Linked DNA regions of Lonchura striata. The protein of the gene in region 2 purifies or fractionates together with the protein of the main gene of each other region. This does not show direct contact. Links are inferred from orthologs where the notes say so. Each region holds a gene or a part of one and is shown on either strand. Other genes may lie near its edges.

The links. The genes of interacting proteins can lie anywhere in the genome.
Region 1: the proteins of MAPK7 (region 2) and PFDN6 purify together in Homo sapiens (affinity purification with mass spectrometry; 3 studies listed by BioGRID and IntAct, with this or other methods). This does not show direct contact. The link is inferred for Lonchura striata from reciprocal best matches to the Homo sapiens genes MAPK7 and PFDN6.

Annotation. Positions count from the first base shown.
Region 1 is NC_134631.1:621,885-625,631, reverse strand, and holds the start of PFDN6 (prefoldin subunit 6), read right to left. Parts: upstream 2,896-3,747; 5' UTR 2,856-2,895; coding exon 2,799-2,855; intron 1,694-2,798; coding exon 1,612-1,693; intron 1-1,611. UniProt on the Homo sapiens protein: Binds specifically to cytosolic chaperonin (c-CPN) and transfers target proteins to it. Binds to nascent polypeptide chain and promotes folding in an environment in which there are many competing pathways for nonnative proteins.
Region 2 is NC_134637.1:104,171-107,917, reverse strand, and holds the start of MAPK7 (mitogen-activated protein kinase 7), read right to left. Parts: upstream 2,357-3,747; 5' UTR 2,202-2,356; intron 980-2,201; 5' UTR 935-979; coding exon 331-934; intron 1-330. UniProt on the Homo sapiens protein: Plays a role in various cellular processes such as proliferation, differentiation and cell survival. The upstream activator of MAPK7 is the MAPK kinase MAP2K5.

The sequences.
Region 1 (3,747 bases), on a different chromosome or scaffold from region 2:
TGGGGTGATTTTTGGGGGTTTTTTTGGGGTTCCCAGGGCAGATTTTTGGGGTGATTTTTGGGGGGATTTTTGGGGGGATTTTTGGGGTTCCCAGGGCAGATTTTTGGGGTGATTTTTGGGAATTTTTGGGGGGATTTTTGGGGTTCCCAGGGCAGATTTGTTGGGTGATTTTGGGGGATTTTTGGGGTGACTTTGGGGGTTCCCAGGGCAGATTTTTGGGGTGATTTTTGGGGTGATTTTGGGGTTCCCAGGGCAGATTTTTGGGGTGATTTTGGGGGATTTTTGGGGGGATTTTTGGGGTTCCCAGGGCAGATTTTTGGGGGTATTTTTGGGGTTCCCAGGGCAGATTTTTGGGGGGATTTTTGGGGGCATTTTTGGGGTTCCCAGGGCAGATTTTTGGGGTTCCCAGGAGGATTTTTTGGGTGATTTTGGGGCTCCCAGGAGGAATTTTTTGGGGTGATTTTTGGGGTTCCCAGGGCAGATTTTTTGTGGTGATTTTGGCAGATTTTGGGGGTGATTTTGGGTGATTTTTGGGGTGATTTTGGGGGTTCCCAGGAGGATTTTTGGGGTGATTTTGGGGGTTCCCAGGGCAGATTTTTGGGGTGATTTTGGGGGATTTTTGGGGGAATTTTGGGGTTCCCAGGGCAGATTTTTGGAGTAATTTTGGGGCTCCCAGGAGGAATTTTTTGGGGTGATTTTGGGGGTTCCCAGGGCAGATTTTTTGGGGTGATTTTGGCAGATTTTGGGGGTGATTTTGGGGGTTCCCAGGGCAGATTTTTGGGGTGATTTTGGGTGATTTTTGGGGTGATTTTGGGGGTTCCCATGGCAGATTTTTGGGGTGATTTTGGGGGATTTTTGGGGGAATTTTGGGGTTCCCAGGGCAGATTTTTGGGGTGATTTTGGGGCTCCCAGGAGAAATTTTTTGGGGTGATTTTGGGGTTCCCACGGCAGATTTTTGGGGGGATTTTGGGGGATTTTTGGGGTGACTTTGGGGGTTCCCAGGGCAGATTTTTGGGATAATTTTGGGGCTCCCAGGAGGAATTTTTTGGGGTGATTTTGGGGTTCCCAGGGCAGAATTTTGTGGGGTTTTTTGGGGTGAATTCAGGGGTTCCCAGGGCAGATTTTTGGGGTGATTTTGGCAGATTTTGGGGGTGATTTTGGGTGATTTTTGGGATGATTTTGGGGTTCCCAGGGCAGATTTTTGGGGTGATTTTGGGGGATTTTTGGGGTAATTTTGGGGCTCCCAGGGCAGATTTTTGGGGTGATTTTAGGGGTTCCCAGGGCAGATTTTTGGGGTGATTTTAGGGGTTCCCAGGGCAGATTTTTTGTGGTGATTTTGGCAGATTTTGGGGGTGATTTTGGGTGATTTTTGGGGTTCCCAGGGCAGATTTTTGGGGTGATTTTGGGTGATTTTTGGGGTGATTTTGGGGCTCCCAGGGCAGATTTTTTGTGGTGATTTTGGGTGATTTTTGGGGTGATTTTGGGGTTCCCAGGGCAGATTTTTTGTGGTGATTTTGGCAGATTTTGGGGGTGATTTTGGGTGATTTTTGGGGTGATTTTGGGGCTCCCAGGGCAGATTTTTGGGGTGATTTTGGGGGATTTTGGGCTCACCTTTCTGCAGCTGTTGGTATTTCTCCAGCTCCGCCTGGAGCTTCTTCTGCAGCGGCTCCGCCATGGGGGCGATTTTGGGGGGCTGGGGGGGAATTTGGGGGCGATTTTGGGGGGCTGGGGGGGGTTTGGGGTCACCCCCCGCACCCCCAAAATCTCCCGTGACCCCTCAGAGACCCCCCCCAAAAAAAACAAAATCCAGGAGCCCCCAAAAAATCCAAAGCCCCAAAAATCCCAAATTCCCAAAAATCCAAACCCCACCCAGGACACCCCAAATTCCCCTCGAGACCCCCAAATTCCCCTCGGGACCCCCCCAAAATCCCCTTAAGACCCCCCAAATTCCTCTGGGGACCCCCAAATTTCCCTCAGGACCCCCAAATTCTCCTCGAGACCCCCCAAAATCCCCTCGGGACCCCCCAAAATTCATTCAGGACCCCCAAAATCCCCTCAAGGCCCCCAAATTCTCCTCGGGACCCCCCAAAATCCCCTCGGGACCCCCAAAATTCATTCAGGACCCCCAAAATCCCCTCAAGGCCCCCAAATTCTCCTCGGGACCCCCCAAAATCTCCTCGGGACCCCCCAAAATCCGCTCGGGACCCCCAAAATCCTCTGAGGTCCCCCAAAATCCCTTGGGAACCCCCAAAATTCCTCTCTGGATCCCCAAAATCCCCTCGGGACTCCCCAAAATTCTACTCGAGACCCCCAAAATCCCCTCGGGATCCCCAAAATCCCTTTGGGACCCCCCAAAATCCCCTCAGGACCCCTCAAAAATTCATTCAGGACCCCCAAATTCTCCTCAGGACCCCCAAAACCCCTCCCAAGACCCCCAAAATCCTCTCGGGACCCCCAAAATCCTCAGGGGACCCCCAAATTCCCCTCGTAACCACCCAAACCCCTTCAGGATCCCCAGATTCCCCTCGGGACCCCCGAAAACCCACTCGGGACCCCCAAAATCCCCTCGAGACCCCCAAAAATCCTTCCGGGACCCCCAAAATTCCCCCCAGAACCCCCAAATTCCCTCGCGGCCCCCCCTCAAATCTCCTCCTGCCCCACCCAAACCCCCCCAAGGCCCCTCCAGGACCCCCCCGCATTCCCAGGGGGACCCCAAGACCCTCCCGGGACCCCCAAAAATCCCCAAAATCCCCAAAAATCCCCCCAAAATCCCCCCTCGCCCCCCCCCCGTTCTTCACCCTCCGCTCCGCGCGCGGCCCCAACGCCTCGAGCCACGCCCCCTCCGCTCTGCGCATGCGCCGCAGCCCCAAACCACGCCCCCTCCTCTAAGCCCCGCCCACCGCCCCGTTTATGCTAATTATCCCGCCGTGGCCACGCCCCCTCCCCGCGCGCCGCCCGCCGCCCGAGCGCGCCCCCCCCCCCTCCCCCGGGGGTGGATTTTGGGGCGGATTTGGGGGTTTTTGGGGCCCGCCGGAGGTGAGAGGAGCGCGGGGAGGGCTGCGGGATGGGCCCGAGGCGGCGCAGGTGGCGGCGGAGGGCGGCCCGGGCGGCGCTGGCGGCGCTGGCGCTGGCGCTGCTGTGGCTGCAGGGCAGCGGCGCGGGCGAGGAGCTGCTGGCGGCGGCCCTGGCGGCCTGCGAGGAGGGGCGGGGGGCGTGGGGGGCGTGGGGGGACGGGGGAAAGCGGGGGGTGGGCGTGGGGGGCGCGGGGGGTGGGAGTTGGGGGGGCGAGGGGGTGAATGGGGGGCGTGGGGACGGGGGGGCGTGGCTTGGGGGAGAGGGGGCGTGGCTTGGGGGAGAAGGGGCGTGGCTTGGGGGAGAGGGGGCGTGGCTTGGGGAGGGGGGCGCGGGGGTTGGGGATGAGCGGGGGGGCGCTGGGAAATGGGGGCCGGGGGTCCTGAACGGCAGCTCGAGGGTCGAGGGTTGGGCTGGAAATGGGGGTCCCGGGGGTAGAATTGGGGGTCCTGCAGGTGGAAATGGGGGTCCCGGGGATAGAATTGGTGGTCCTGCAGTTGGAATTGGGGGTCCTGCAGTTGGAGTTGGGGGTCCGGGGGTTGGAATTGGGGGTCCCGGGGTTGGAATTGCGGGGCCTGACGTTCAAATTGGGGGTCCCGGGGGTGGAATTGGGGGTCCTGAGGTTGGAATTGGGGGTCCGGGGGTTGGAATTGGGGGTCCTGCAGTTGGAATTGG
Region 2 (3,747 bases):
TTTTGAGTGCCCCCAGGTGTATTTTGGGTGTCCCCAGGTGTATTTTGGGTGCCCCCAGGTGTATTTTAGGTGCCCCCAGGTGCATTTTGAGTGCCCCCAGGTGTATTTTGGGTGCCCCCAGGTGTATTTTGGGTGTCCCCAGGTGTATTTTGGGTGCCCCCAGGTGTATTTTAGGTGCCCCCAGGTGCATTTTGAGTGCCCCCAGGTGTATTTTGGGTGCCCCCAGGTGTATTTTGGGTGCCCCCAGGCGCCCCCAGGTGTATTTTGGGTGCCCCCAGGTGTATTTTGGGTGCCCCCAGGTGTATTTCGGGCGCGGCCCAGGCCTCTCACCGGTGTCGCGCCGCCGGGCCGAGCTGACCACGCCGTAGGCGCCGGTGCCGATGGTCTCGATGACCTCGTAGTCGTCGCCGACGTCGAAGGTGACGTCGAGCGCCCGCGCCTTCAGCAGCGCCAGCGGCCCCGGCGCCTCGGGGGCGTGGTCTGCGCCCGGGGGGGCGTGGTCTGGGCCATGGGGGGCGTGGTCTGTGCCATGGGGGGCGTGGTCTGGGCCATGGGGGGCGTGGTCTGTGCCATGGGGGGCGTGGCCTGTACCATGGTGGGCGTGGTCTGTGCCATGGGGGGCGTGGCATGTGCCATGGGGGGCGTGGCATGTGCCATGGGGGGCGTGGCCTGGGCCATGGTGGGTGTGGTCTGGCACATTGGGGGCGTGGTCTGGCACATGGTGGGCGTGGTCTGGCACATGGTGGGCGTGGCCTGTGCCATGGGGGGCGTGGTCTGGCACATGGTGGGCGTGGTCTGGCACATGGTGGGCGTGGCCTGTGCCATGGTGGGCGTGGCCTGGGCCATGGTGGGCGTGGCCTGGCACATGGGGGGCGTGGTCTGGCACATGGGGGGCGTGGCCTGTTCCGTCAGGGGCGGGGCCCGGCTCGGCCATGGCGCCGGCGCGGGTGGGATCGGTTGGGGGAGGGGGAGGAGTCACCTGAAAAAAGCGAAAATCACCCCAAAAAAATCGTCTGGGATCGGCGGGGATCCTCCCCCAGTTCGTCCCAGTTCATCCCGGTTCCCTCCCAGTTATGCCGGGACCTCCCCTAAACCCGTCCCAGTAAAGCCCAGTTCTGTCCCAGTCCCACCCAGTCCACCCCAGTCCATCCCAGTTCACCCGGTTTGCCTCCAGTTCCTCCCAGTTCCCTCCCAGTCTATCCCAGTTCCCTCCCAGTCCCTCCATGTCCATCCCAGTTCATCCCAGTTCATCTCAGTCCCCTCCCAGTCTGTCCCAGTTACTCCAGGACCCCCCTTAACCCCTCCCAGTTCTCCCAGTTCCCTTCCCAGTTACCCCAGTTCCCATCCAGTTCCCTCCCAGTCCCTCCCAGTTTATCCCAGCCCCTCCCAGTTCCCTCCCAGTCCCTCCCCTTTCCCTCCCAGTTCACTCCCAGTCCCCCCCAGTTCCCTCCCAGTTTATCCCAGTTCCCTCCCAGTCCCTCCCAGTTCCCTCCCAGTCCCTCCGTGTCCATCCCAGTTCATCCCAGTCCCCTCCCAGTCTGTCTCAGTTACTCCAGGACCCCCCTAAACCCTCCCCAGTTCTCCCAGTCCCTCCCAGTTCCTCCATGTCCATTCCAGTCCCTCCATGTCCATCCCAGTTTATCCCAGTCCCCCCCAGTCCATCCCAGTTCACCCAGTTTGCCTCCAGTTCCCTCCCAGTTCCCTCCCAGTCCCTCCGTGTCCATCCCAGTCCCCTCCCAGTCCTTCCCAGTTCCCCCCCAGTCCATCCCAGTTTATCCCAGTCCCCCCCAGTCTCTCCCAGTTTATCCCAGTTCCCTCCCAGTCCTTCCCAGTCCCTCCCAGTTTATCCCAATCCCATCCCAGTCTCCCCCAGTCTCTCCCAGTTTATCCCAGTCCCCCCCAATACCATCCCAGTCTCCCCCAATCCCATCCCAGTCTCTCCCAGTTTATCCCAGTCTCTCCCAGTTTATCCCAATCCCATCCCAGTCTCCCCCAATCCCTCCCAGTTTGTCCCAGTTTATCCCAGTTCCCCCCAGTCCCTCCCGTCCCCCCCCCCGGGGGCCGTTGCCATGGCGACCCCGCGGCTCTTCCCTCTCCCCCCCCCGCGCTCTTACCGCCCCCGCCGCCCCTCCCGCCGCTCCCGCCGGGCCCGGGAAGCGGCGCCGCCCGGCCCCGCCCCCTGCGCCGCTTCCGGGACGCACTTCCGGCCTCCCCGCGGCGGTTCCGGCCTCGGAGGATTTCCGCGGCGCCCGGGGATTTTTGGGGAACTTTTCCCGCTCGTCCGGGCGGCTTTGGAGGAATTTTGGGTCATCGCCGTGGTGTTTAAAGGATTTCCGGTTGGTTCTGTGGAACTTCCGGGTTCTCTCCATGGCGGACTTCCGGTTGGTCTCGACGGTTCCATGGAACTTCCGGCTCGTCTCTGTGGTGCTTCCCATTCATCTCTATGGGCAGGCTCTGGTCGCTCCTGCGCATGCGCGGCCGCCGTGAGGGATCTACCATTCATCTCTATTGATGGCTCTGGTCGCTCCTGCGCATGCGCGGCCGCTATGAGTGACCTCCCATTCATGTCTATTGACGGCTCTGGTCGCTCCTGCGCATGCGCGGTCTCCATTAGGGACCTCCCATTCATGTCTATGGACGGCTCTGGTCGCTCCTGCGCATGCGCGGTGTCCATTAGGGTCCTCCCATTCATGTCTATGGACGGCTCTGGTCGCTCCTGCGCATGCGCGGTGTCCATTAGGGACCTCCCATTCATGTCTATGGACGGCTCTGGTCGCTCCTGCGCATGCGCGGTGTCCATTAGGGACCTCCCATTCATGTCTATTGACGGCTCTGGTCGCTCCTGCGCATGCGCAGCCGCCATGAGGGACCGGACGCGGGAACTGCGCCAGGCGAGAGCCCAGAAAAATGGGGAAAAAAAAGGAAAAAACGGGGAAAAAAGCCAAAAAGCGGGAAAAGGAGCCCGGAATCGGGATGGGGGAAGGCGGAAATGGAGGAGGGAGTGAGGAAAAAGGGGGAAGAGCCCAGAAATTGGGGAAGAAAGGGCGAAAATGGGAGCGGGGAGCTCGGGAATGGCGAAAAGTGGGAAAAAGATGTGAAAATGTGGGAAAAAAGCACAAAGAAACGGGTTGGGAGGCCAGAAATGCGGGAAATGAGGGAAAAAGTCGGAAATGAACCCAAAAATTGGGAAAAGAGCCCAAAAAATCAGGAAAAAGAGCGAAAATCAGGAAATAAACCCAAAAATCAGGAGAATGAAGTCAAAAATTGGGAAAATGTTTCTAAAAAAATGGGGAAAAGAGTTCAAAAATTGGGAAAAGAGCCCAAAAATTAGGTGAAGAGTCTAAAAACCAGGAAAAAGAGGCGAAAATCAGGAAATAAACTCAAAAATCAGGAGAATGAACTCAAAAATTGGAAAAATGTTTCCAAAAAAAATGGGGAAAAGAGTTCAAAAATTGGGAAAAGAGCCCAAAAATTAGGCGAAGAGTCTAAAAACCAGGAAAAAGAGGCGAAAATCAGGAAATAAACCCAAAAATCAGGAGAATGAACTCAAAAATTGGAAAAATGTTTCCAAAAAAAATGGGGAAAAGAGTTCAAAAATTGGGAAAAGAGCCCAAAAATTAGGCGAAGAGTCTAAAAACCAGGAAAAAGAGGCGAAAATCAGGAAATAAACCCAAAAATCAGGAGAATGAACTCAAAAATTGGAAAAATGTTTCCAAAAAAAATGGGGAAAGAGTTCAAAAATTGGGA